7 linked regions of the Callithrix jacchus genome follow. The protein of the gene in region 1 purifies or fractionates together with the protein of each later gene. This does not show direct contact. Links are inferred from orthologs where the notes say so. Each region holds a gene or a part of one and is shown on either strand. Other genes may lie near its edges.

The links.
Region 2: the proteins of MED9 (region 1) and MED20 purify together in Homo sapiens (affinity purification with mass spectrometry; 6 studies listed by BioGRID and IntAct, with this or other methods). This does not show direct contact. The link is inferred for Callithrix jacchus from reciprocal best matches to the Homo sapiens genes MED9 and MED20.
Region 3: the proteins of MED9 (region 1) and MED21 purify together in Homo sapiens (co-immunoprecipitation; 8 studies listed by BioGRID and IntAct, counting the BioPlex papers as one, with this or other methods). This does not show direct contact. The link is inferred for Callithrix jacchus from reciprocal best matches to the Homo sapiens genes MED9 and MED21.
Region 4: the proteins of MED9 (region 1) and MED31 purify together in Homo sapiens (affinity purification with mass spectrometry; 4 studies listed by BioGRID and IntAct, with this or other methods). This does not show direct contact. The link is inferred for Callithrix jacchus from reciprocal best matches to the Homo sapiens genes MED9 and MED31.
Region 5: the proteins of MED9 (region 1) and MED4 purify together in Homo sapiens (affinity purification with mass spectrometry; 10 studies listed by BioGRID and IntAct, with this or other methods). This does not show direct contact. The link is inferred for Callithrix jacchus from reciprocal best matches to the Homo sapiens genes MED9 and MED4.
Region 6: the proteins of MED9 (region 1) and MED26 purify together in Homo sapiens (affinity purification with mass spectrometry; 6 studies listed by BioGRID and IntAct, with this or other methods). This does not show direct contact. The link is inferred for Callithrix jacchus from reciprocal best matches to the Homo sapiens genes MED9 and MED26.
Region 7: the proteins of MED9 (region 1) and POLR2G purify together in Homo sapiens (affinity purification with mass spectrometry; 3 studies listed by BioGRID and IntAct, with this or other methods). This does not show direct contact. The link is inferred for Callithrix jacchus from reciprocal best matches to the Homo sapiens genes MED9 and POLR2G.

What each region holds. Positions count from the first base shown.
Region 1 is NC_133506.1:69,668,486-69,672,934, reverse strand, and holds the start of MED9 (mediator of RNA polymerase II transcription subunit 9), read left to right. Parts: upstream 1-1,620; 5' UTR 1,621-1,668; coding exon 1,669-1,895; intron 1,896-4,449.
Region 2 is NC_133505.1:50,422,005-50,426,353, forward strand, and holds the start of MED20 (mediator of RNA polymerase II transcription subunit 20), read right to left. Parts: upstream 2,868-4,349; 5' UTR 2,767-2,867; coding exon of another isoform or gene 2,753-2,766; intron 1,873-2,752; 5' UTR 1,822-1,872; coding exon 1,727-1,821; intron 1-1,726. Other genes in the region: BYSL (bystin), read left to right, coding at 3,306-3,573. UniProt on the Homo sapiens protein: Component of the Mediator complex, a coactivator involved in the regulated transcription of nearly all RNA polymerase II-dependent genes.
Region 3 is NC_133510.1:44,217,392-44,221,546, reverse strand, and holds the end of MED21 (mediator of RNA polymerase II transcription subunit 21), read left to right. Parts: intron 1-716; coding exon 717-831; intron 832-1,101; coding exon 1,102-1,202; intron 1,203-2,068; coding exon 2,069-2,245; 3' UTR 2,246-3,484; downstream 3,485-4,155. UniProt on the Homo sapiens protein: Component of the Mediator complex, a coactivator involved in the regulated transcription of nearly all RNA polymerase II-dependent genes.
Region 4 is NC_133506.1:108,206,822-108,210,596, reverse strand, and holds the end of MED31 (mediator of RNA polymerase II transcription subunit 31), read left to right. Parts: intron 1-2,827; coding exon 2,828-3,020; 3' UTR 3,021-3,214; downstream 3,215-3,775. UniProt on the Homo sapiens protein: Component of the Mediator complex, a coactivator involved in the regulated transcription of nearly all RNA polymerase II-dependent genes.
Region 5 is NC_133502.1:67,843,239-67,847,468, forward strand, and holds the start of MED4 (mediator of RNA polymerase II transcription subunit 4), read left to right. Parts: upstream 1-1,378; 5' UTR 1,379-1,415; coding exon 1,416-1,540; intron 1,541-4,230. UniProt on the Homo sapiens protein: Component of the Mediator complex, a coactivator involved in the regulated transcription of nearly all RNA polymerase II-dependent genes.
Region 6 is NC_133523.1:15,191,274-15,193,772, reverse strand, and holds the end of MED26 (mediator of RNA polymerase II transcription subunit 26), read left to right. Parts: coding exon 1-871; 3' UTR 872-1,970; downstream 1,971-2,499. UniProt on the Homo sapiens protein: Component of the Mediator complex, a coactivator involved in the regulated transcription of nearly all RNA polymerase II-dependent genes.
Region 7 is NC_133511.1:120,037,460-120,041,855, reverse strand, and holds the start of POLR2G (DNA-directed RNA polymerase II subunit RPB7), read right to left. Parts: upstream 2,948-4,396; 5' UTR 2,877-2,947; coding exon 2,865-2,876; intron 2,731-2,864; coding exon 2,621-2,730; exon of another isoform or gene 2,338-2,620; coding exon of another isoform or gene 2,309-2,337; intron 1,062-2,308; coding exon 902-1,061; intron 1-901. UniProt on the Homo sapiens protein: Core component of RNA polymerase II (Pol II), a DNA-dependent RNA polymerase which synthesizes mRNA precursors and many functional non-coding RNAs using the four ribonucleoside triphosphates as substrates.

The sequences.
Region 1 (4,449 bases):
AGTTGGAGAGGTCCATGGTTAGAAGGAAGAAAACCCTGCAACCCACTCCTTTCCTTTGCTTTCTCTCTGGGGCACCGTGGGCAGCTCTTGCTGCAGAGAGCTGTGCTGAGGCTCTTTACTACAGAACCTATACAGTGCTTGCCCCCAACAGTGCTTCCTTCTATGTCCCACTCCCCACAGATTTGCCTTCATACAGGCTTCCCAATATGCCTGGATATGTCAGCACTGATCCTTTCCCTGGCCACCTTGCCCTTATGCTGCATGGATGTGGACCTCTTTGCCTCTCTGTACTGCCCACGATGGTGGACTACAGCAGAATGGGCTCACCAGTTGACAGCTTTCTCCACTCATGTCTTCTATTCACTAAGCTTGGTGGGTGTCCCCATTGCCCAGAAAATTATTACATAGCCCTCATATCAAATTTGTTTTGAGAAGCATTACCACAAACCTGTCTCTGGCCTATGATCCCAGGGAGTCCTCCCTCATGCCAACAAGACCTCTTGGGATCAGCCACATATGTGAAGTTAGAATGCGGTTTAGGCTCTGCCATAACTCTGAACTAAACATGATTTTAGGGGTGAGGAAACTGGGACCTAGGGGCTTGGGGAAGTGGCCCGAGGGTATGGAGAGTAACTGACCTGTCTTTCTTCCAGGATATAATATTCATTCCTGGCACCAATCCCCTCTACCTTGTATTGAAAGCAAGGACAGCCTCCCTGCAACCACACGTACAAGTGGCCACTCAGCAGGTGCATACTAAACGTGTGTTGAGTTGTATTATTAGAATCTCAGTGGCTATGCAGCATTGGAGGGACAGCAATCCCTTTGCCTCTGTGTCCCTAAAGCTAAGCAGGAGGTCTCCACGTCTTGCACTGTGAGCCAGGCGGGGTTTGGAGCCACTGGCCCTGAAGGTCCCTACTCTCTGGATTCCCAGTGCCTGCGGAGCCCAGGCCTCAACCAGCAGGTAAGTGCAGTCCATACCTCCCGCGGGTCCAGCTGGTTCTTCTCCAGACTTGGGTGTACTAGGCCAGGCTGTGCCTTACTAATCTCAAGGCTTCCTGTGTTTGTGTGAATAGGAATAAGAAGATTGTTATTTCTGGCCGGGAGCGGTGGCTCACGACTGTAATCCTAGCACTTTGGGAGGCCAAAGTGGGAGGATCACCTGAGGATGGGAGTTCGAGACCAGCCTGACCAACATGGAGAAACCCCGTCTCTACTAAAAATACAAAATTAGCCAAGCATGGTGGTGCATGCCTGTAATCCCAGCTACTCAGGAGGCTGAGGCAGGAGAATCTCTTTCACCAGGGAAGCGGTGGTTACGGTGAGCTGAGATCGTACCATTGCACTCCAGCCTGGGCAACAAGAGCGAAACTCCGTCTCAAAAAAAAAAAAAAAGAAGATTGTTATTTCTTAAATAAATCCCCTATTTCTCACTATTTATTCATTTAGCAATCTTGACTCACAACCCAAATCCAGGCACCCCCCCTGGACCCACCGCGGCCCATTGCCTAGCAACAGCCTTCCCGCCCCGCCTCCGCGCCTTTGCCCACCGGGTGCTTAGTGCGCACGCTCTAACCCCGCCCTGTAGGACGCACTGTGGTGACGTGTACAGTCCGCGACGCTTTCGGTGATCCGACCTCTGGGTTGGGCTAACCTAACCCCGGCGTTATGGCCTCCGCCGGGGTGGCAGCCGGGCGACAGGCGGAGGATGCATTGCCGCCAACGTCCGACCAGCCGCTGCCCGACAGCAAGCCGCTGCCGCCTCCTCAGCCGCCGCCGCCGGTCGCTGCCCCTCAACCGCAGCAGTCGCCGGCGCCGCGGCCTCAGTCACCGGCCCGCGCGAGGGAGGAAGAGAACTACTCCTTTTTACCTTTGGTTCACAACATCATCAAATGGTAAGAACCTAGGAGAGGACCAGACCTCATACTCCCTCCAGCTTCTCGTCTCACCCTTTTCAGAGCTGCAGGAGGCCTTGGCGCTCTGGGGCACGCCCCCGTTTCAGAGTTAGGAAAACTCAGGCTCAGAGCGGGAAGAGGCCTTTCCCAATACCACAGAGCCATTCCATGAGTTAAGCAAACGATTTGGGCCCTGAGAGGTGCGATATCTTTAAGAATAAGGCCAGCTTAGAGACCAAATGCAGACGTTTGTCCAGAGGCTCAAGTGTACATCCAGCTATCTTGAGCAAATTAAATCTCTCTAAGGCTCAGTTTTCTCACCTTTAATGTTAGTAATACTTTAGTTCCTTATTTCAACAGACTCAGCAGATAAGCATCATCTTCCCTGTGTTAGATACTGCCAGGTGCTATGGGATGGACACAGTAAAAGGGGCCAACATTTCATCCCCAAAGGTTTCACCAGATAGAAGGAAAAAAAGACATGATTGGGAATAACCCATAATTCAAAAAGATTGAGAGGGGAGCAGTGGTGATGGGAGACATTAGACTAAACAAAGACACAGAAGTTGCCTCAGATGATTAGACCTACCTGTACTGACTTTGTTCTAACTGTTCTAACAGTGCGAAAGGAAATTACTGTCATCCTTTTGGCCAGCATCCAGGGTAGCCTGAGTTTTCCAAGTGACTCTGTAAAGAAAAAGCCAAAAACAAGAAAGCCAGAGTCTCACTGATCCCCATGTTTGCCTAAATTTTTATTATTTTTGAGACAGGGTCTTGCTCTGTCAGCCAGACTGGAGTACAGTGGCGTGATCTGGGCTCACTGCAGCCTCAACCTCCTGGCCTCAAGCCATCCTCTCACCTTAGGCTCCCAAGTAGCCAGAACCATAGGCATGAGCCACCGCACCCAGCGAATTTTTGTAGAGATGGGGTTTCACCACGTTGCCTGGGCTGTAAATTATTTTCATTATGTTACTGCACTGTGTGTATCCACGTGATACTAGTTGTAAACCCCTAGGCTTGTAACTCTTATTCAACCATTAAAGACCAAAACAAAGTAAATTAAAGGAAAATTACAATTCCAGTAACATTCAGGTGAACATTAATGTGCTCTTCACTGTTTTACTGAAATGGAATTGTTTCTTACGTGAAGGTCTCGACTGTTAGTGGCCCAGCCTCTTTTGAGTTTAAGCAAACTAGATTCAGTTGCTGTGGGATGACCTGATGCTGTTCTGCCCCTTTTCAAATAACTACAAAGGCTTTATTCTCCCATTAGACCCTGGCTTCACTTGGTGTGAAAATACTCTTTATAGGGTAAGGCAGCCTGTTCAGTTTTTGTGAGCCTGTGATAATGATCACAGACAGAAATACATATGCAGCCCCTGTAATCCCAGGTCAGTGCTGGATTATAAAGGGTTTATTCAGATTAACCCCAATTGACTGGTTTTACAAAAAATGTGGAAAAAGGAAAACATAAAATGTACACATTCACAAAGGCAGCTCTTGAATCCCTGAGAGATTCTTGAGCCCTGGTAGAGCAACTGGGTTGGGTGGCCTTAAAGATGTAGTAGTAAGTTTCACTAGAGAGAACAGGCTTTGAAGTTAGACGGTTCTGGGTTCAAACCTGTGTACTGACACTTTCTTGCCTTCTAATCTTGATATAAATGCCTAACCTTTCTAGGCCATAATCTTCTTATCTCTAATATGTCTATAGTGGACCTCATAAGATAGGTCAAATTATGTAATAGCTCTATAATGTGCTGACTGGGTGACCTTGGCAAGTAGCTTAGCTTCTCTGAGCTATGAAATGGGAATACTTATGTCATAGGATTGTTGGGAGGATGTACTGAAGAGCATACCTGTGAAACATAGTGGGTTGATCACATGTGCTTGCCTCTGTTCCATCTAAAAGGACAGAGAAGGGACTTCAAACAAACAAAAAGCATAGAACCTCTGGATGCAGTGGCTCATGCCTGTAATCCCAACACTTTAGGAGGCTGAGGTCAGCCTATTGCTTGAGCCTGGGAGCTCAAGACCAGCCTGGGAAACATAGCAAAACTTTCACTCAACAAAAAATACAAAAAAAAAATAGCCAGGCATGGTGGTGTGTGCCTGCAGCCCTGGCTACGTGGGACGCTGAAGTGGGAGGATCACTTGAGCCCAGATTACACCACTGCACTCTAGCATGGGCGACAGAGTGAGACCTTGTCTCAAAAATACAAAAGCATGAAACCAGAAGGAACAGGACAGGAGATTGCCACAAAGTGGATGGCTAGAGCAGATTCATCTGCCAACTCCTAAGCAGCTGGCTTGTTAAACATGACCTACCCCCATATATCAGGAACTCTAGTGCAAGGACCCTCTGGAACAGGGAGGGTGAAGGTGGGTCTAAGAACAGGAAGGTTACTTAGAAGTCTGTTTAAGAAGCAGGTCCCCACAGTCCTACTCCCAAGCAGCTGGGTGACTACCTTTCTTCCAACTTGGCAGATCGTTAAAAGGTTACTTTCCCAATTAGGAAGGAATATCTGGACTGGGGGACACCAGGCACACTGCAGGG
Region 2 (4,349 bases), on another chromosome or scaffold:
GGCACGTTGGCTCATGCCTGTAATCCCAGCACTTTGGGAGGCTGAGATGGGTGAATCACAAGATCAGGTGTTTGAGACCAGCCTGGCCAACATGGTGAAACCTCATCTCTACTAAACATACAAGAAAATTAGCCAGATGTTGTAGTGCATGCCTGTAATCTCAGTACTTGAGGCTGAGGCAGGAGAATTGCTTGAACCCAGAGGGCAGAGGTTAAAAAGAGCCAAGATCGCACCCACTGCACTCCAGCTTGGGCAGCAAGAGCAAAACTCTGTCTTAAAAAAAAAATTGTCACTACTCTATCAGAAAAAGCACTGATAAACAATGCTGCTAATGTGCCTTATTTTGAAATATAAAAGAATCCCTAACGGATGCTACAAGGGACAGAAGTCCTAGGATTCTGAAAAAGTTGTTAAAGGTTACCACAGAGAGCCCTTTGTGGGTAACCCCCATATAGGCACCGAGGAATGAGAGCTAAGTAGAACCCTGGCACAGTTAGGGCTTGAGGAATATCTCACTTTATAGTGTTACCACTCAGCCATTTCCTTTTATATAATCCTTTATACAGTCATATATTAGTTTATAGAAATAGGGCTTGACAAATCCCTTTATATAATCTTCTCTATATAATCATATAATAGTTAATAGTATGAGTGCCTAAAGAATATTTCCCTACATGTATACCTATATCTTAGTTCATATCAGAGGAATGCGTAGAGTGGACACAGTACATAGTATGAATTAAGGAATAAGCAGCTTATAATCAGAGGAATGCCTAAGAGCAGACACTGTGCAGAGCATGATTTAAGGGAAAAACAGTTATGCCAGGACAAGAATCCATGGCCCAGGCGGCAGCGTTCAGTATCGTAAAGATACCCGCTGTATGGCAGGCTTGGGACGAGAGCCACTCCTCCTCATGAAGGAGTTGTAGGACCTTGCTCCCGTTCTTGTGGAAGGCTGCCCTCAGAACGGCAATCCACCTTGGTGACTGTGAACTTTATCAGCTCTTGCTACTGTGCTGCTTGAAAAGCATCTTCCCATAGGACCCATTGGAAGCTGCCAGAAGGTGGCGGTAACCCTGACAGCTCTGTCACTGCTATGTGACTTAAAGCATCCTCCTATAAATCTTCCTAGAAGGAGTTTGACCATAGATAGAAGTATTGCACACTGAGCACGGCCCACCTTCATACCTCGGTGACCTAATGGGGGTGGACCCCTTACTGCACACGGCCCTTGCCTTTGTGGGAACGGGCCCTTTGCTGTGCACTGTCCACCTCCTGGCCTAGGTGACCTCATGGGGGTGGACCCCATGTTTTATTGCTCACGACCCTATCTCTATCCTTAAAGATGATTTCACTCACTGGCCTGCCCCCTAACCTACACAATAAATACTCATGCTTCTGGACATTCGGGGCCTCGCCTGACTCTGCTTCTAGGTGGTGTGCCCCCCTCTCCACCCTGAGCCCAGCTGCGTTTTTGTTGTACTTCTGTGTCCTGTCTCTTTATTTCTCGGATCCTGCGCCTCAGCACAGCATAAGGCTCACCCCACGACCCTGTGGGGCCATCAGCCCTACATCAGGCTCCCAACGTGCCCTACATCCTTTCCCTGGAGCTGCCTTTTCCATTTGAGAGCAGGGGTGGCAGGGCACAATGGCTCATGTCTGTAATGCCAACACTTTGGGAGACCAAAGCAGGAGGCTCACTTCAGTTCAGAAATTCAAAACCCACTTGTGCAAAATAGCAAGACCCAATTTCTTTTTTTTTTTTTTTAAAGAAAGAGCAAAGGGTTCCAGGGTTCTACGCTGCATCCGTTCCATTTCCATCTTTCACGTATCTTGCTTCCATTAAGGAACACAGGAGGAGGAGGATGTCAACTGTGGGAAACAAGAGTGCAATCACTGAGAAACCCGCGAGAAACGGGGCTACCAGGAGAAGTATTTACCCCACACACGCTTTTATATGAGCTACAGCCACTGGCTTCAGATATCCTGGCCCCCGGGATTCTCCCACAGGAAAGATGCTCACACCTCCTGCGATAAGAAAAAAAAATGTCTGGGACCTAGTACCTTACAACTAATGCCTCCGCGAGCGTTGTACCTTTCCCTGCCACCTCATCTTCCAACTGAGACTTAAAACATATGAAAGATAAAAACTCCATTGAAACTAGACCAACCATGGAATTAAACATAGTGAGAAGCAGGTCCTAAAGAGTGCCTGGAACCACGATCTCCTTCTTATCAATAGCCTCTTTTTTCCTCTAGACCCAAGATCTTAAAATGGGCAAATTACAAACAGACACCAGCTGGTCTAACTGCATTTGATGGCTGAGACAAGGGTAGGCGAAAATCTCAAAAAAAAAAAAAAAAAATACTGTCTCCTGATCGCTTTTAACCTACTCCCTCCAACCCTGTCTGCAGGTAGGTCCTAATCCAAAGTCCCTATTTCCAACCTTGAGGTCCAAGTGCAGACAGTACTATGGCCTCACGGGAAGGAAGATGTACCCATAAGGGAAGAAGGTACATAACCATTGATAGGTCCCTGGTATAAAACCTTTGCTCTGCCGCCTTCCAAGAGGTAAGAGCGCATCTCCGAGGAAAAAGGCCCAGGGAACCCGCGGCCCGCACGGTATCCTCTTATCCAGATAACCCGAGGACATTTCGCTCAGCTCCCAGAGGACGGCGGGCCATGGTCAAGGACCTCTTCCCGGCCCTTCACAACTCCAAATCCCGCCCCACAAAACCCCTGCAGTCCTACCAAGTCACTCCCATGGTGTCGGGACAGGAAGGTGGCAGGATCACACAGTAGAAATGCGTCGTTCCCAGTCCGCCCACAGGAACTGCTTCAGTTCCCCAACACAGGCTTCGGTCGCAGAAGGGATTCCGGAAATACGTAAAAACAGAGCGCCGGGTCCACGCCTTCCCCAAGGAATGGGGCGTGTCTTGGCACCCGTCGGTGACGCCTCCAGTGACATAATCAGTGGATTCCCGCTCTCATGTTTCTAGCTCCGGAAATTCCCGGTTGGCTGAGCACTCTAGGCTTAGATCCATGAAGCTAGAAGAACGAGACTTAGACTGCACTATTGAGAGACGCCAACGTTAAAGGAAGTAAATGTATTTGGGAGTCCAGCTCCGGAACCCAGGAGCTCTTTTAGTGGGAGGGGCGGTGCTGATAGCGCTTCTGGCCTCCGATAGCTAGAGGGCGCTGTGATCGCAGCGTGGCCTCTTGGGAGGTGGGAGTTCACCCAAGTGTATTCTGGCCTTTTCGTCGTCCCCACGTGCGAACCTTCCCGGCAGTATTTTCAAGAAAAATGCCCAAGTTCAAGGCCACCCGTGGGGCCGGGGGTCAGGAAAAACATGCGCCCCTGGCTGAGCAGATCCTAGCTGGGAATGCGTTGCGGGCAGGGGTCCGGGAGAAGCGGCGGGGTCGTGGCACCGGAGAAGAGGAGGAAGAGTATGTGGGGCCTCGGCTGAGCCGACGGATTTTGCAGCAAGCACGGCAGCAACAGGAGGAGCTCGAGGCCGAGCATGGGACTGGGGACAAGCCCGCGGCGCCGCAGGAACGCACCACGCGGCTGGGTGAGTGTCTGGGATGAGGTCCGAACAAGACAATGGCTAGCAGCGGGGCCGGGGGCGGGGGGGAGGACAGCTAAAAAGTGTCCGGCAGGGGACTTGCAAAAGTAATGGAATGGGAGACTAAGCAATGGCCAGAGACCTCCGCGCCCACTCCTAGTTTTAGGCACTCCCTTCTAGGCACCCCCGAAGTTAGGCCAATAGGAAGTAATCGCTCGCGCCACTAAGTGTTCTTAGCATTTATCCATTGGTTTTGTAAATATTTATGGAAAACCTACTACGAGCTTTGCGCTATGCTCGAAGTTCAATCGAATATTTGAGTACAGAAGTAACAACATACAGACACGTCTGATTTAAGGACCTTACAGTCAAGCCCAGCGGAGAGACAATTACGTAGACTCTTAGAATAATATATTTCCATGATAAAATATCGTTTCCCTGGTGACAGTAGCATTGGTCTTGAGAAGCTTCTCCGATTGTAGGACCTTTAAGCTGAGAACTGAAAAACGAATGGGAAGTGTAATGAGCAGAAAACACGTTTCGCAGACAAAAAGGGAGAGAAATGAATTGACGTTTGATAGGTTCTTACTAGGGAGGGAGTGCTTACCTCTGAGGTGCTTCATCCACTTCTCAGATCTCATCTAAAGCAATATTTGACACAATTGAATAGTGGCCTCCTGCCCACAGTATCCTTACTTGGGTTATAAGACATCAACACTGCTGTTTCACTGCCACCTCACTTCTCAATATCGTTGGCTGACTCTTACTTGCAACCTCTTATC
Region 3 (4,155 bases), on another chromosome or scaffold:
TCTGTAATTGAACAATGGCAGAGAAACCCAGTGCAAATGCTTATTAGAAATAGGAGGTTTGAGAGGTCAAGACTAGGTGAGAGAAATTGGTGGGGAGGATAGGCGTTTTTAATTTGGAGATGATAAGGAATTGCTGTTCTCAATCTTTAGAAGTACTTAAGGAGTACTTTTAGCGCACAAGAGTTTAAAACTTGAGTCTTGAACAAATATGTTTCTGATTACTTAAGGTGCTTTTCTGAGCAGCCTTTTCCCCACTATTTCTTTATGCTTGTAACTACTCCAGTTTCAGAAAAGGAATTATATACTTTGTACATGAATAATAAATTTTCATTTGACGCAATGCCATAGGTAGATATTTGCAAGTCAGATTTCCATCACTGCTCTTTTCCATCACTGTTCCCCAAAAGTCTTTACTTTTGGCTTATAATAAATATTGGCTAGTGTTCTCTTACCATTTTACTATCAAAAGAAAAGAAATATTATTTTTATTTCAACTGTTTCAACTGGGTTGATACCAAACTTAGTTTCTTTGCAGAATTAAAATGTTTAATTAACGTTATTAGTAACTGGCTTATTTTATCAGCAATTATTCCTTTCTGTTTTATTCCCTTACTCAGAGATTATGATTAAAGAAATTTATTGTTGTTGCTGTTATCAATAAAGTCCTTAAAATTGATAAGTCCTTCCTAACCTTGACATGTTTTCTTTGGCCTAAGCTTGCAGATCAGTTTTGTAATGCCATTGGAGTATTGCAGCAGTGTGGTCCTCCTGCGTCTTTTAGTAATATTCAGACAGCAATTAACAAAGACCAGCCAGCTAATCCTACAGAAGGTAAACTGGTTTTCTTAGCTTCTCTTTGACTCTCACATTTATTGTAATCCTTTCAAATTAGATTTATTGAGCAATTCGGCTTATTTTGTTTCCAAAAATTATGCTTAATTCCCAATTTGAGCTAAATGTGTAATAGGATTTGTGTATATTTTAATCATTAGAATCCTAGTGCAGAAAAAGCTATGTGAAGTTTCCAGTTTCACTAACTTAAAATTTGTTCTGAAAACTTGAGGTTTTCTAATGACCTGATCTAGCATTATCTTTCTCTAGAGTATGCCCAGCTTTTTGCAGCACTGATTGCACGAACAGCAAAAGACATTGATGTTTTGATAGATTCCCTACCCAGTGAAGAGTCTACAGCTGCTTTACAGGTAAGTCTTTATTCCTTTGAGAATTTTACCAGTAATAGAGAATTTTGAATTAAAGGAGCAAGGTTTAATACCTTTTGTCTGTGTCCATTTGTGCTGCTGTAACAGAATACCTGAGACAATAATTTATAAAGAACAGAAATTTATTTTCTCACAGTTTCTGTAGGCTGGGAGGTCCAAGATCAAGACATTTATTACTCATTGTGCATGAGTAAGACATTTTTATTTAACACAGTGCTATGTTTAGGGCCATGTTTAAGGCCATGTTGAGGGCCTTCTTTCTATTTCCTCACATGGCAGAAGGCAGAAGGACAAAAGAGCAAGAATTCCCTCTTCAACCTCAAGCCATTTTATGAGGGCACTAATTCTATGAGAGCTTTGCCTTCATGACTTAATATCCTCTTAAAGGCCCTTTCCTTCTTAATACCTTCACATTGGGGATTAGATTTTAACGTATGAATTTTGGAGGGGACACATAACGTATGAATTTTGGAGGGGACACATTCAAATCATAGCACCTTTTGTTATAATATTCAATTTTCCATTATAAGGAAACCTCTTATTTCCTCAATTGTGTCTCTTTTCCTAGTGAAGAATGAGAGGAGGGTGGCATTCTAGATGTGGAGTAGAACAATGGTGCCCAAATGTAGTGTGGAAGGGAGTCACTTACAGATATCTAGAGATTTCTAATTGAAAATTCATTCTTTTTAATAATTCAAATGAGGAAAATTCTTAGAAGTTATCTGATTTTTAGAATTTCTTTGCTGAAAAACACAATAATTGCAAAGTCATCCAGATTTAAAAATAAGTACCTCTGTGACAGCTTCCCTCGTTAACTCTAAAGATTTCAAAATTTCTGTCTTATAAAGGCTGCTAGCTTATATAAGCTAGAAGAAGAAAACCATGAAGCTGCTACATGTCTGGAAGATGTTGTTTATCGAGGAGACATGCTTCTGGAAAAGATACAAAGTGCGCTTGCTGATATTGCACAGTCACAGCTGAAGACAAGAAGTGGTACCCATAGCCAGTCTATTCCAGACTCGTAGCACCAGTGGATACCATGTGGCTGAGAAAAGAACTGTTTCAGTGCCATTAAGAATTCTGCATCAGACTTAGATAACAAGCCTTACCAACAGTTACAGAAGCATTCAACACTATGACACATGTTCCCTTTTTAGCTATTTTTAATAGTCTTCTGTTTTCACTCGTGATAAATAAGCTTATAAAATAATGATTGAACCAGCTTTAAACCGTCATACCATCATTTTTTAACTGAAATTATTAAGGCAGATGATGCATTAATAAACATAAGTAAACATATATAAAATTCTATTGTGACATGATTCATGTCTTTATTTTGTTGTCTTGGCCAGTACTTTTACAAATCAAAACATTTCTCAAGCCAGAGAAGAAGGTAGTAAGAACAGACATAAGGGACATTTTAGTTTAGGCTAGCATCCTGCCTCTTAGAGGTGGCATTGTGTAAATTTGAGCTTTGAGCAAGAAAGTTTTGGAAATTGTATTGCTTTTAAATAGAGTTAGTGTGGCTGGATAAGTAAGTCACATTTATGCAAATGTTTCTTCTTTCAGAACTTCATACCTGTTCTAGTTCATCTACACATTCTACCAAGAAATCCTCTGTCAGAATTTTCCTGCTATTGTGAAAGAATTCACCTTGTATTTTTCATCCTTCTCCTTAATTTGCTTGCATCACAGTGAAGTATGTTTTTGAATCGTCAGTTCTTTCTCAGTCTCTTTATTTATCTAAAGTTTCTTTCTTTTGCCCTTTATTAATCTCTCAACTTTTATTGCTGTATTCTAGTCAGACCCGAACATACTTTCAATACATCAGTTACTGGGCTCTATTTCACCTCAAGTTATTATTGCTAACATTTGTATCAGCATTTTCAACTATGGTTACTCATCCAACCCTTGGATCTCTTTTAGTCTAGTGATTTTCTCCACTGGAAAGGTGGAATTAAAATGTATTCACATTTTAACTGGCCATTTCCTTGGGCTATATTTTTCAGAATATCCTGAGCTACATTTGCTGTAATCTTGCTATTCAGAGTTTAAGTTTCCAGAGAAACCAAAAATACAACACTGCCTGTTATTTTTGTCATAATCAAGCTTTTCCACAGTTCTTGAAAAGTACTGTGTTTCAAATTTCAGGAACACCAGTGTTAGCTATAAAATTCGTAACAGTTTATTGGCTTGTCACAGAAAGTTTTTGAACTTTTAACTGTATTTTCATTGATGTTTATTAAAAACATTTTGCTATCACAGTTATTGTCCATAAATCTGTACTCTTCATTGTAGTTTTTGGAGGAGAGAAGATTTGATCAGAAAACTGATTTTCAAAGTACTTAAGTGTTATAAAGGAGTCAAGAAGGTACAAATAGAAAATGTCAGGCCGGGCATGGTGGCTCATGCCTATAATCCCAGGACTTTGGGAGGCTGAGGCGCGTGAATCAGGAGGTCAAGAGATCTAGACCATCCTGGTCAACAAGGTGAAACCCTGTCTCTACTAAAAATACAAAAAATTAGCTGGGCATGGTGGCGTGCGCCTATAGTCCCAGCTACTCAGGAGGCTGAGGCAGGAGAATTGCCTGAACCCAGGAGGCAGAGGTTGTGGTGAGCCGAGATCGAGCCATTGCACTCCAGCCTGGGTAATGAGCGAAACTCCGTCTCAAAAAATTTCACAACCTCTCAGAATAAAACATAATAAAATAGTAACCCTAAATTTTATTTTATTAATACATTGATAATTAAATGTTAATGATCTAAGCTGATTTAAATCTCAAAACTGGATAAGAAGCTGTGGCTCTTATAAGGAAAGACTTTTATTCATTAGACCTATAATTTGGTTTCTTCATATGTAAATTAAGAAGAGTTTAATAACCTGCTTCTGTATTTCAGTTCTAGGGGCACCAGTTCAGTTAACTAGCCCTAAAGA
Region 4 (3,775 bases), about 39 Mb from region 1:
AATTCTTCCAATCAACAACTGGCTGATGCTGAGAGCAGCTGCCACTACTAGCTGCTTTCCACCTGGTGGAAGAGACTTTCTACCACTTGGCTTGGTTCATTGCTAACCAGTAGCTGCCACTATAACACCTCTCTTATGTCTCTTTTTCTCAACTCCCTTCAGCCATTGTGCCATGGTGCCCAGACTTCTCATGAATTCAGGTTCCCTCCTTTGGATATTTGGCAGTTGTACCTTATGCAGTTCAGCCAAGAACTAAACACAGGCCTTCAGATGTGGTCAGAGTACAGTGGGTCAGAGGTTCTTTCTTTTCTTTATGTGGACATACACCTCTATTAATTAAACTTAACGTTTATATTACTCTTGGGGTGGGGTGGGGAGAGGATCACATTGTTGACTTGCTGGGTGCATTAATGTCAACTGAAATCCTTCAGTTCTTACTTTCATCAATGCTGTTGGGTTCTCCCTATCTTGTTTATTTTTTAAAACACCAAATGCAGAACTTTCCTTTTCTACTGCTTCTGTTTCATCTTGTTGACTTGTAGCCTATCCAGAGTATGATTCTTTATTGTCGTCTAATACATTCTGATATAAACGCTGCCTGTCTAAATTCTAGTTATTGACCAAATGCTATTTGAGACTTGGTTGTCACATTATTTTACAGCTGAAGAAGCTAGCTGAACTTTAGAGAGGTTAAGTACCTTGTTAAAGGCTACCAGGCTGGACCTTAAATCCTGGTCCTTTTAACTACTGGTGCTGTCATGAAAGGGAATTAGCCAGGGCAGGTGTGAATAGAGCATTCTAGCATAAGCAGCCAGCAATTAGAGCAATTGTGTACTTTTAGTGTGTAGATAGCAAACCTTTACTGCCTTGGAAGTTACTCTCTTCGAAGCATGGTACTAAGCCCTCTATTCAGTGTGGTGTTCAGATCAGTAGCATTGGTTGCATTTGGGAGATTTTTAGAAATGCAGAGCTCATGCCCCACTGCAGACCTAAGGAGTCAGTCTGCATTTTAAGAAGTGATTCATACACACATTAAAGTTTGAGAAGCATTGCTCTAGCATCCTATTTTCCAAACTAGTCATTTGCATATCACTTCTACAACTTTGGCTTTATCTGCATACTTCCTATATTTCAATGTATTTTGTCTCTTTTAAATGCTTTTATATATTTTCAACTTGAAATAATTTTACTTACAAAATACCTGAAAAAATAATAAAGAGAATTCTTGTATTTTCTTCATCCAGATATTCCAGATGTTTAACAATACAATCAGCAAAAATCAGAACATTAATATGAATTTATTACCTAATCTACAGAGGTCAGATTTTGCCAGTTGTCCAGCTGGTGTGCTGTATGCAGTACAGGATCCAGTCTAGGCCTGCATGTTGCATTTATTGTCATGTTTTCTTAGTCTCCTTTAATCTCAGTGGTCTTTTCTTTGCCATGACTATGACAGAAATGATTTTGTATCTGTCATATATCTACAGTCACATGAAGTCTATTTGTTCCACAACTGGTGATATTAATTTTGATAACTTGGTTGAGGGTGGTACCTTCTAGGTTTCTCCATATCAAGTTACTATTTTTCCTTGTATATTTAAAATGTATCTTATGGGGAAATCCTTTGAGACTATGTAAATATATTACATATATTTTTGCCCATTAATTTTAGCATCATTTGAAGATACTTGCTTTTGAGGAAACAGTTTTCATTGTGATTTTCTAAATCTTTCATTCTCCATTTATTAGTTTGGAATTCGATTGTAGGGAAGTACTTTTTCTTGTTTTTTATTTATTCTTTTATTAAAGAAATTTGCATCCATTTAGTATGGACTTTTGGATTCTTATTTTTATTCTGTGAATTTTAATTATGTATTTTCAAGCTCTGAGTATTCCAGATTTGGCCATTAGGAGTCCCTTCAAGTTGGCTCCTGAATACTTTTGATCCTCCCAAGAATTTTTAGCACTTTTTCTTCTAGCATTACGTAATGTTCCAGGCTCATCTTGTCCTTTCCCTGTCTTATCCCTGAATCAGACTTTTCTCCAAGGAAACCTGCTCCTTGGAAACGGGGCACTGTGTGTTCATTAGTACCACAGTGTCATTGCTTCTAGGCCCTCTCAGTACACAAAGCTCAAGAACTCTATATATGTATGTATGTGTATACATGCACACACATATATATCTGTCTATGTCTCTATATATTAAAAGCCCTAAGTACATGTTGTTTTCAATACCAGCTCGGTAACACAGGGTTCGTTCTAGCCTTTTTCCTTTACTTGTCTATAAGTCCTTTTCTGGTAGCCAGAAATTTGGCTCTCCATATCCACAGTATATTTACTTGTCCAATCCTAGAGTATACCTAATTTCAGAATTGGTATACCCCTGTGGACAAGAGTACAACGTATATGCATAGTCCTCTTTCAAACTGAAATTGTGTTTTTATCACTATTGATGGAAAAACCAGTAACTATCAATTAAACACATAATTACTAAAATATGTTCATGTTCTTCACCTTGGAAAGCACTAGAAGGGAATAGCATGGTTTGTCCCTAAATTTTCACTCTGCTTACCAGTTACTGTGTTCTGTAGTCTTGAGCAAGTTAATTTAATCTTTCTGAACTTAAACCTTCTCACTTGAAAATTTTGCTGAACACTGACTTTTGATGACTATGCAGGGGAAAAACCCTATGCTACTAGAGTGTACTAAGTTAATGTTATAGAAATGGTAGGCTACAAGATCATTTTTAAGAGAATAACTGAATTAGACCTTGGCATTATTTACTACTTAAATTATGTTGTTCATTCACTTATAAACTTAAACCCAGGTACCCTCAGTGTTTACACATGTTAGAGCTGCTCCAGTATGAACACTTCCGAAAGGAGCTGGTGAATGCCCAGTGTGCGAAATTTATTGATGAACAGCAGATTCTACACTGGCAGCACTATTCCCGGAAGCGGATGCGCCTTCAGCAAGCCTTGGCAGAGCAGCAACAGCAAAATAACACATCGGGGAAATGAAAAACTGGATACAGACGAGGCTCTGAAGATATATATATATATATATATATATAAAAAATGTATTTCTTATGTACAGTGAAGACAAAAAAAATGAAAACTCTTCCTATCTAGCTTTATTATGGTAGCATCTAGAACTGTTAGTATGCTTTTTAATCAAACTAACTTTTTATTGTTAATAGACTATCACTGTTAAACCTGAAGTGTTCTACTTTGATTTCCATATGGATTTTAAGGTGTTTCTTTTTTAAGCATTTAGTATAATCAGCTGATTAATAATGGAAAAGTTAGGTGCTTTAGACCAAATAAAGAAGGCATTGGGGCATGGGGTAGGGGTGGGTCACTAAGTATACTGAATTCTAAGGCTAGCTCTTCCTGACATATAGTAGGGCAAGGCCATCTCCTGGAACCTGTTTCTCAGATCAACTACTCTACCACTCTTACCTATGTAGTGAGAGTAGCGGAGTCAGTGACTTGTTTAAATCACCAGGAAGGAACTACATAAAGGTTCTTAAATTCTGCAGGAAAGGAAATACCTGTATACATGTTTTGCAGGGTGGCTTTAAGAATCACTGTGACCTCGCTTGACCTAATCACGGCACAACAACTAGTGGTTAATTACTAATTGGTCTCTTGACTTTAGAACAAAGATGAGGAGCCTCAAATACTTGTGCTCACTTGGGAAAGCGAACACTGAATTGGGGGGGTACCACAAACCAGGTGCTATGTTAAGTGCTTCCTTGAATTCTCAGAACCTT
Region 5 (4,230 bases), on another chromosome or scaffold:
TGCGGAGACCCCGGCCCATCTCATGAGGAAACTAACATAAGATGGAGACCATTATGTAATTCCCTCAAAGGCTTAAAAGTCACTTCACAGAAGCTTCTCATGGCTGCTTGAGAAACACTAGGCCCAGGGCCAGGCATGGGTACTCACGCCTATAACCCCAGCATTCTGGGAAGCCAAGGGGGGTGGGGGGGTGGATCACTTGAAGTCAGGAGTTCGAGACCAGCATGGCCAACATGGCGAAACCCTATCTGTACCAAAAATACAAAAATTAGCTGGAAGCGTGGCACGTGCCTGTAATCCCAACTATTCGTTAGGCTGACGCAGGAGAAGCGCTTGAACCGGAGAGGCGGAGACTGTAGCTAGTCGAGATTGCAACCATGCACTCCAGTCTGGGCAACAGAGTGAAACCCGTCAAAAAAAAAAAAAAAAAAAGAAGGAAGGAAAGAGAGAGAGAGAGAGGGCGGGGGGTAGGGAGAGAGAAAAGGAAGGAAAGGAGGAAAGGAGGGGAGGAGAGGGGAGGGGAGGGGAGGGGAGGGAAGAGGGAGAGGGATGGGGAGGGGGGAGGGGAGGGGAAGAGAGAGAGGGGTGGGGAGGGGGGAGGGGAGGGGAGGGAAGAGGGAGAGGGATGGGGAGGGGGGAGGGGAGGGAAGAGGGAGAGGGATGGGGAGGGGGGAGGGGAGGGGAAGAGAGAGAGGGATGGGGAGGGGGGAGGGGAGGGGAGGGAAGAGGGAGAGGGATGGGGAGGGGGGAGGGGAGGGAAGAGGGAGAGGGAGAGGGATGGGGAGGGGGGAGGGGAGGGAAGAGGGAGAGGGATGGGGAGGGGGGAGGGGAGGGGAGGTAAGAGGGAGAGGGATGGGGAGGGAAGAGGGAGAGGGATGGGGAGGGGGGAGGGGAGGGGAGGGAAGAGGGAGAGGGATGGGGAGGGGGAGGGGAGGGGAGGTAAGAGGGAGAGGGATGGGGAGGGGGAGGGGAGGGGAGGTAAGAGGGAGAGGGATGGGGAGGGGGGAAGGGAGGGGGGAGGGGGGAGGGAGAAGGGAGGGGAGGGGAGGAGGGGAGAGGAGAAAAGAAAAGAGAGAAAAGAAAAGAAAAGAAAAGAAAAGAAAAAAGAAAAGAAAAGAAAAGAAAAGAAAAGAAAAGAAAAGAAAGAAAAAAACATTATGCCCAGGAGAATCAGACTCTGGTCTACCCCTTGTTCTCGGTTCGGCTGTCGCTCCCAAGGTTTCTACCGGAAAGCCCTCGCTGGCCCAGCAGATGGCGCCGGTGTCCGCAGTGCGCCTCCAGGCGCACAGGGGGCGGTCTCGCCAGGGCTTTCATTCCTTCACTGGGTGACTCTTCTGCCTTCCGAGCCTGCCTACCCGCCACGCCCCTGCGTCAGCATGCACTGCGCGTGCGCCAGCGGCGGGACGGTCGGGAGTATGGCTGCGTCTTCGAGTGGTGAGAAGGAGAAGGAGCGGCTGGGAGGCGGCTTGGGAGTGGCAAGTGGTAACAGCACACGAGAGCGGCTGCTGTCTGCGCTTGAGGATTTGGAAGTCCTGTCTAGGTAATGGCTCGAGCCTTAGAGCCGGGCTGGAGCTGGGCCGGGGAACTGACCCCGGCCGGCCCTTGATTTGCGCTAGTTCTCTGCGCTTGGCGGGGAGGGCCGGCGCGGGAGTTTCGGGTGCACGATGGTCCTGGACGTGGGGTCCGCAGCCCTTTGGCACTCTGGGCGGCGGTTTTTCCCGATAGAGGGAATTTTAATAATGATAGTAATCGTGGAAATTAAGAAATTGCGCGGTCGGAGCCCCCTTCGTCCACGGCCGGCCACTTAACATTTATGGAACGCCCCTTGGGTGCCAGCCACTGGGGTCTTGAAGGGTAGGCTGGATGCCAGAGACAGACAGATGTGTAAACTGGAGTGGGGCCTGTTTTATTAGAGGGCTGCACACAGGCACCCTGAAGAAAGGGCTGCTTGGGAAGCATGAGCTGGCAGACTCACTAGGCAGCAGGTAGATGGAACGGCATGTGCAAAAGCCTGGCTTGGTGGGGTTGCAAATTGTTTGGGATGGTTGTGTGGCAGAGGTAGGAGACGAAATTAGATGTCACTCTTCATATTCTGTTACTTTTCATGATAAGTATCTCAAGTTGAAGTCTTCCTTGACTCTCTCACATTGGCTTGCGTGGTAAATTATCTTGGTTCTTCTACCTCCTAAAATGTGACTCAGAGTTGCCGTCTCGTATCTACTCCGCTGTTAATAACTGCTACTTAAATGCAGCCTCCCAGTTTTAATTGCCTCATGCTTCTGCACTTTATCCTTTTATATTGGCCGAGACCAGTTTTAAAAGGCATGTTATATCATTTTACTGCAGAAAAATGATATAAAACCTATATCGTTGGTAGGTTTGCATTGTCCAGTGAGGTAAAGTTCAAATTCCTTAGCCAGACTTACACATCTTCAGTGCAAATCCCAGTCTACCCTCAATTTGGTGGATGATTCATTTATCCTTCAGAATCCAGCTCAAATGTCACCTTTTCTGTAGCCAACATTCTTTGACAGCTTTAGAATAAATCTTATCTATTGTATTTTAAAATATACCTGATCTACTTATAATCGGCACTTTATGGTGTTAAATTTAGTCTTTGCCACAACATTACTACCAAGTTACCAGGTCAGCATGATATTTAATGATGGAAGAGAACCCTAAAACACATAGACACCAGAAATTAAATGGCTATGTGTTTAATCCACTGTTTAAAATAAACTGTATTAGGGCCGGGTATGGTGGCTCATGCCTGTAATCCCACCACTTTGGGAGGCCAAGGTGAGTGGATTGTTGGAACTTCTTCACAGAATGAAACTGCTCTGATGTGAATGACTTCCAGAAAAGTGTCGTGTGCTCACTCAGACATAGTTATGTGTACCGATTCTGTGATCTGTGAAGTTTGTCAGTTTCTGAATGGAATTTGTGTCTGGATTGCATTTATGAAAATGAGAAGAAAATTCACAAATGTACCTTACATATTTTTAGGTTGAGCATCTTTAAAAACAGTGGATTCGTAACTTAGGGTTTTTTTGTTTTGTTTTTAATACATATTTTATTGCGTTTTAGATTTTGGGGCACATGTGAAGAACATGCAAGATTGTTGCATAGGTACATACATGGCAATGTGGTTTGCTGCCTTCCTCCCCATCACCTATATCTGGCGTTTCTCCCCATGTTATCCCTCCCTGTTTTTTTTTTTTTAAAACTATTAACCTGATTATGTAGCCTTTCAGGATATTTATTACTTTGTAAAATGTAATTGGAGGAGGTAGTCTTTGGAGGAATTTAAAAAGTTGAAACACAAGTTGTAGCTAAACGTTTTTCTTTTTTCTTTTTTTTTTTGGGACAGAGTCTCGCTCTGTCACCCAGGCTGGAGTGTAGTGGCATGGTCTTGGCTCACTGCAACCCTTGCCTTCCAGGTTCAAGAGATTCTCCTGCCTCAGCCTCCTGAATAGCTGGGATTACAAACACCTGTCACTATACCTGGCTAATTTTTGTATTTTTAGTAGAGATGAGGTTTCACTATCTTGGCCAGGCTGGTCTTGAACTCCTGACCTTGTGATCCACTCACCTCAACCTCTCAGAGTGCTGGGATTACAGGTGTGAGCCACCGAGCCCGGGCACTAAACGATTTCTCTTAACCTGTTTGTAACTCAGAACTCATTGTCCCGCAGAACCATGTTGATAGGAGTCTTGAGATTTCCACACCAGCCTGTTAATTCTGTTTACCTGAAAAGTGTATTGCCACTAATAATGTAGGCTCTAACCCCTATGGAAATTTTATTTCTGTGGGGAAATGGGGCTGGATTCTAATGTAGTATACCAGGAATGCACCTTCTTTGTAGCAGGACAGGGCTCTAATTTCCACATCTTTAACCAGACAGAATGAGTGTGGGCTTTCTTTGGCCTTTTTTCCACGATTGGAGAGGACATAGGTTTCCATCTTGTCCTGGACTGTTACAGAACATGATTAAGTCTTAGAGACTTCTACCTCCCCTGTACTCCTGTCCCTAAATCAAGCCTTATAAAGCTTTCTGTAGACTCATACTCCCAGATTTGCAAGAACAGAGAAAGGCTTATCCCACATCTCCTGCCATAGCCCCACTCCAGTGAGCACCACCCTTACCCCACCTGAAACCAGCTTTTACTTAGACCAGAGGTTCTCAACTCTCTATGTCTCACTTACAGCATACACGAAAAGGTTGACAT
Region 6 (2,499 bases), on another chromosome or scaffold:
GGTGCCGTCACCGCTTCCACTGGCACAGCCGTCCACACCCCCTGTGCGGCGGCCTGAGCTGCTGTCCAGCTCGGAAAGCCCAGTACGCTGGCTTGAGCAGCCTGAGAGCCACCAACGGCTGGCAGGGCCAGGCTGCAAGGCTGGGCTATCCCCGGCCGAGCCCCTCCTGTCCCGGGCAGGCTTCTCCCCAGACTCCTCCAAGGCGGACAGTGATGCTGCCTCCTCTGGGGGTTCGGACAGTAAAAAGAAGAAGAGGTACCGGCCTCGAGACTACACGGTTAACTTGGACGGGCAGGTGGCCGAGGCGGGCGTCAAGCCTGTCCGGTTAAAAGAGCGGAAGCTCACCTTTGACCCCATGACAAGACAGATCAAACCTCTGACCCAGAAAGAGCCAGTGCGGGCAGACAGCCCTGTGCACATGGAGCAGCCGTCCAGGACAGAGCTGGACAAGCAGGAGGCCAAGGCCAGCCTCCAGAGCCCCTTCGAACAGACGAACTGGAAGGAGCTGTCACGCAATGAGATCATCCAGTCCTACCTGAGCCGGCAGAGCAGCCTGCTCTCATCTTCGGGCGCACAGACCCCGGGGGCTCACCACTTCATGTCTGAGTACCTGAAGCAGGAGGAGAGCACCCGGCGAGGGGCCAGGCAGCTGCACGTGCTGGTGCCTCAAAGCCCGCCCACGGACCTCCCTGGGCTGACCCGGGAGGTCACACAGGACGATCTAAACAGAATCCAGGCCAGCCAGTGGCCGGGGGTGAACGGGTGTCAGGACACACAGGGTAACTGGTATGACTGGACGCAGTGCATATCGCTCGATCCTCACGGTGACGATGGGCGCTTGAACATTCTGCCTTATGTCTGCTTAGACTGACCGGCCCGTCAGCCACAAAGTGCATTCCCATCTTGCAGAAGCCAGGCGGGCAGGCAGGTGGGCGGGTGGCCAGGGCCCAGCTGCCTCCTGCGGCTGGGAACTCGGGGAGCCCGGCCTGGGCAGGAGGGAGGGGGCGGGAGTCATGTGGTCTCTCTGTGCACCCTTCCCTCAAAACTCTCCTTTTGTGAAATGCTGCTACCAGTTTACTAACAAAATTGCGAAGGAAGGACCGTGCGGAAGGAAGGACGGCAAAGTGAGTTCAGAACTCTATAGCAAACCAGCTATAAAAAGCGTTAGTCCCTCACCCCTGAAGAGGTGCGGACACTTTCCAGCACCTGAATGCTGGGACCTCAGTTGCAGGCAGGCACAGAAAACCTGTGGGAGAGGTTACCTTTAACACAGCAACAGAAGCACGCATCTCATCTCTCTTGCATTTCCTGTTCTTTAATTTGGCCCCGAGTGTCTGAGAGACAGTGGGCCATGCCACAGCCTCTGTTTGCCCCTACCCAGCCACTGTCAGGCCAGTGTTGTCCATCGTGTGCCAGAAGCTCCTCAGCTGTGGCGAGCCACTGGCATTGGGCAGAGAGGCCAGCTGGCTAACCAATATGACCCCAACTCCATGGGCAGCCACCTGTTTATATCTGGTTTCAGTTATAACCCAGTATTTACAGAAATGCTGCAGAAATTTAAGTTTTTTTGGGTTTAACTCCTCTTCCATCAGACCACCAAACAAACTTTTCCTTTCTTCCCCCCTTTCCTTTTTTCCCTTCCTGTACACATCTAGAAAACTTCACCTTTCTAGAGTCCCCCCTAAACAACACAAAAGTTACTGTGGGTGCTACTGGTTTTATGCTGTACTGTGGGGCGAGAGGGCAGACCTGTCTGTACGCTGGAAACACTCATAACCATTCCTTTAGATTCGTTTGCCTTATGGTTATTTGTCATAAACGCGATTTGCAAAAACAAGGAGCCTTAGTGAATGTACAGTACATAGACTTCTGTGTTCTCAGGACGCAGAAGGGAGCAACTTTGCTATTTGGTCCAGTAAGTGGACACCTTGTGATATAAATGTGGAAATAAAAAAACCCATTTGCACAAACCAGTATGAGAATCTTTTCTTATTTGGCCCTTCACTGCCAAATCAGCCCTTTCCTGGATTGTGGATTAGCCAGGAAGACCTAGACCCTCCAACAGCTGGGATATAGGGAGACAGGGTAGGGCATAGCCTTGAAATCCACCTGTTAGCCTGCTGCTGCATTTGGGAGGAACCTTTTATTCATTCAGGGGCACATTAAGGAACGTTTATCTTGTCTCACCCAGACCTGACTGGCGTAGAGAGCAGGCTCCATAGCACAGGTCTCTGACTACTCCCACCTCAACAAAGTTCTTACAAGGGATGGCCCAGAGGCTCAGAGCTGTGTGTGTGTCCGGCAGCCCAGCCCTTGGCCCTGGCCCTCAGCTGCCTTACTAGCTGGTTGGTGCTGACACCAAAAAAATGTTTCTCTCTTGGCTATGGAGTGGTAATATTTTAGTTGTCCCTCATCCCCAAAACTGTAAGCTAAGACTGGTTTTCTAGTTTCTCACTTTGGAATAGGTCATCTTACCTATATCTGCTTAATTTCACAAAT
Region 7 (4,396 bases), on another chromosome or scaffold:
CGGGTGGATCCTGAGGTCAAGAGATCGAGACCATCCTGGTCAACATGGTAAAACCCCATTTCTACTAATACAAAAAGAACTTAACTGGGCATGGTGGCACACGCCTGTAGTACCAGCTACTCGGGAGGCTGAGGCAGGAGAATTGCTTCAACCCAGGAGGCAGAGGTTGCGGTGAGCCAAGAGCATGCCATTGCACTCCAATCTGGGTAACGAGCAAAACTCCGTCTCAAAAAAAAAAAAAAAAAAAAAAAAAAAGATTTGAACACTGGTTGGGCACATGATCTTGACCAGTACACTTAACTTAAGCTTCAACTTCTGTAAAAAAGCACCCACCTTGTAAAATCACTGTGGGTCTCTGCACATTACCTGGCCCATAGTAACTACTCAGTCAATGCAGGCTTCTATTGTTATGACTATAAATGACTCCCTTGCCCTCTGAGTCACACAGGGCCAGATTGCCATACAATTTTAAAGTGAAGCACAAGAAGTAAAAGTTACTGGCCAGGCATGGTGGCTCACGCCTGTAATCCTAGTGCTTTGGGAGGCTGAGGTGGGCTGACTGAGCTCAGGGGTTCAAGGCCAGCCTGGGCAACATGGCAAAACCCCATCTCTACCATAAAAAAAAAAAAATTAGGCAGCCGTGGTGGCACATGCCTTTAGCCCCAACTACTCAGGAGGCTGAGGCAGGAGAATCGCTTGAACCCGGGAGACAGAGGTTGCAGTGAGCCAAGATCGTGCCACTGTACTCTGGGTTAAAGAGCAAAATTGTCTCAAAAAAAAAAAAAAACAAAAACAAAAAGTAAAGTAACTTAGCTGAAGGCACAGAGTTATCAAGTGGAGCCAGGACCCAACGACATCTTCCAAGAGACTACCCCACTGGCTCCCCTATGTATGGTCTCACCTTGTTGACCTGCGTGACAACAGCATCCACGACTTCTCCTTTAAAGGGCCGGAAAACAATGGCCTTGTACTTAACTGGATAAAGGACGAAGCCTCGGCCTGGCTGGATCACACCAGCACCGATATTGTCAATGGTGGTTACAGCGATTACAAAGCCATACCTGCAAGGAGGAGGAGAAACAAACGGCATTTTGTGTCCATGAGCCTCTAAAGATTCTGCAGTAAAAGTCACTGAGCTTTTGGGAGGAGGGTCAAGGAGAACAAAAGGACAAGTTGCTAGCACCTCAGTTACCAGAGCTTAATGACCAAGAGAAGACAGGACACAGATCAGTATGTATTAGGCCAAATGCTGCTCTGATAATTTCACAATAAATGTCCAAGATGGCTGGAGACCTTGAGCCAACAGGGGCCAATCTTTGGGATGCCTGAGAATCATCTTATTAAAATGCAGACTCTCTGGCCCAGCACGGTGGCTCATGTCTGTAACCCCAGCACTTTGGGAGGCCGAGGCAGGTGGATCACCTGAGGCCAGGAGTTTGAGACCAGCCTGGCCAACATGGAGAAACTCCATCTCTACTAAAAATACAAAACTTAAGGCCGGGCACAGTGGCTCACGCCTATAATCCCAGCACTTTGGGATGCTGAGGCGGGTGGATCACGAGGTCAAGAGATCGAGACCATCCTGGTCAACATGGTGAAACCCCGTCTCTACTAAAAATACAAAAATTAGCTGGGCATGGTGGCGCGTGCCTGTAGTCCCAGCTACCCGGGAGGTTGAGGCAGGAGAATTGCTTGAACCCAGGAGGCGGAGGTTGCAGTGAGCCAAGATCACACCATTGTACTACAGCCTGGGTAACAAGAGCAAAACTCCATCACAAGAAAAAAAAAACAAAACAAAAATTAGCTGGATGTGGTTATGCACATCTGTAATCCCAGCTACTTGGGAGGCTGAGGCAGAATGGTTTGAACCCGGGAGGCAGAAGTTGCAGTGAGCCGAGATCGTGCCACTGGACTCTAGCCTGGGTGAGAGTGAGACTTCCATCTCAAAAAAGAAAAAATAAGCAGATTCTCAGGTCTGCCCCAGAGAATCTTGATTCTGTAGGAAACAATGAGGTTCAGGAATTTGCATGTTCAAGAACCACCCCAGGTTTTTCTGATGCTGGAGACCCAAGTAACTCCACTGCCCTGGGCTGGGTCATTAATACCACCCTGGGAGAGGCTCCTCTGCACAAAGCCCAGAGATGTTCAAGTCCCAAGCTGCTTCCTTCCTCCCCCAACTCGATCTGCCTTTTCTGGTCATTCATTCAGAATATATATTGAGGCCCATGGTGTGTGGTCCCTGGGCACAGGGGATAAGAGAAAACCAGCAGAATGACAGAGGGAGAGCAGACACAAGAACAGTAATTACACTGTGGACTCCACGAGGGCTGGTCTCATTCTATCTTGTTCTCAGGGCCCAACACGGGTCCTGGCACACAGCAAGGATTTTTTTAACATGTTTGAGGAGTAAATGAATGATTAATTTCAACGGAGGGAAGGAAGTCTTATCGGCCAGCATTGCAGAGGGAGTCCTGGGAACCCAAAGCAGGAAACAACTGGCAGCCTGAGAGAGTGAGAGAGGTCCCCAGAGTGGGTGGCAGGACGAGCAGGAGCTGGGGAGGGGTTGCAGGTATAGCGCCTCGTGTGTGCGATCTGGCTGCGCGGTGAAGTCGGCACTCACTTCCCGGTGCAGGTCCCCTCCACCTCGGTGAAAAGCTTCTGCTTCACCGTGTTGAGCAAATTGGGGCCGAAGTAGCGCGGGTGCAGCAGGATTTCGTGCTCTAGGGAGATCTGCGGAGAAAAGTGGGATGGCGACCAGGCCAGGCGCTGGGAGGTTATCGGGCAAGAAGGGGCCCCTCGCGCCGGCGCCCGGCTTTGCTCCTCCTTCCCACCCAGCCCTTGCTGCCACCCTGAGCCCTGCTCACGTGGTAGAACATCTTCCCAGAGCAGTCTGCGAGGCTAAATCCACACCTCTTGCCGCCTCCGGGAATCCACCGGAAGCACAGATAGCCTCAGCAACCCCAGTTCCGGGCCGGCCGCGACAGAGGGAGGAACTCCACCCCCTTCGCGGGTTTGATTGGGCCTCGCTGTCGTGGGCGGGAACCACTAAAGCCACGCCCCTCGCCCGCCCAACCTGGGCCTCAAAAGGCAATTCTCTTAATGCACAAACTATAACAACCACTCAGTAAATACTTATAACGAGATTAATTAGTGAAAGAATCCATAAGTCAAGCGCTATAACAGAGTGCAGCAAATCGATTCAGCAAATATATATCTACACATGTTTGTTGGAGGCCCAAGTACTTCACTGCCCTGGGCAGAGAGAGAGTCTCTGTTGTCCAGGCTGGAGTGCACTAGCGGGATCATAGCTCACTGGAGCCTCCAACTCGTGGCCCCAAGCGATCCTCCCATCTCAGCCTCCCAAGTAGTTGGGGCAGCAGGCGTGCCACCACGCCCAGCTAATTTTTAAAAATTTTTTTTTGTACAGACCGAGTCTCTGTGTTGCCCAGGCTGGTCTCCAACTCCTGAGTTCAAGTGATCTTCCCGCTTCAACCTCCCAAGATGTTGGAATTATAGACATGAGCCACCACACCAGACCTTTGTCTTTCTTTTTTCTTTTCTAAGAGAAGGGATCAGTCCGGGCGCGGTGGCTCACGCCTGTAATCCTAGCACTTTGGGAGGCCGAGACAGGTGGATCACCTGAGGTCAGGAGTTCAAGACCAGCCTGACCATCATGGTGAAACCCCAACTTGAAAAAAAAGGGGGGGGCTGGGCGCGGTGGCTCACGCCTGTAATTCCAGCACACTCTGGGAGGCCAAAGCGGGTGGATCACAAGGTCAAGAGATCGAGACCATCCTGGCCAACATAGTGAAACCCCGTCTCTACTAAATACAAAAAAAATTAGCCGGGCATGTTGGCACATGCCTGTAATCCCAGCTACTTGGGAGGCTGAGACAGGAGAATCGTTTGAACCCAGGAGGCAGAGGTTGCGGTGAGCTGAGAATGCGCCATTGCACTCCAGCCTGGTTAACAAGAGTGAAACTCCATCTCAAAAAAAAAAAAATTAGCTGGGCGCAGTGGCAGGCGCCTGTAATCTCAGCTACTCTGGTGGTTGAGGAAGGAGAATCGCTTGAGCCTGGGAGGAGGAGGTTGCAGTGAGCTGAGATTGTGCCACTGCACTCAAGGCTGGGCGGCAGAGCACAACTCCATCTCAAAAAAAAAAAAGTTGTTGGAATCCCAAAAACCACTTTAAGCCTCGAGAGAGATGTGACTTCGAGTCACATACAGTTTACAATTTCTGTTCTCAGATTATAGATCAACTCACTTTCTTATTTGTCTTGTTCTCTACATTGACTAGAAAGACTTAAATGACCTCAGGGACAAAAAAAACCTCCTGCCTCCTTAATGAATGACCCTTGTTATAGATTAACTTGCCTTTTGTTGTTCTGCTTTGCTT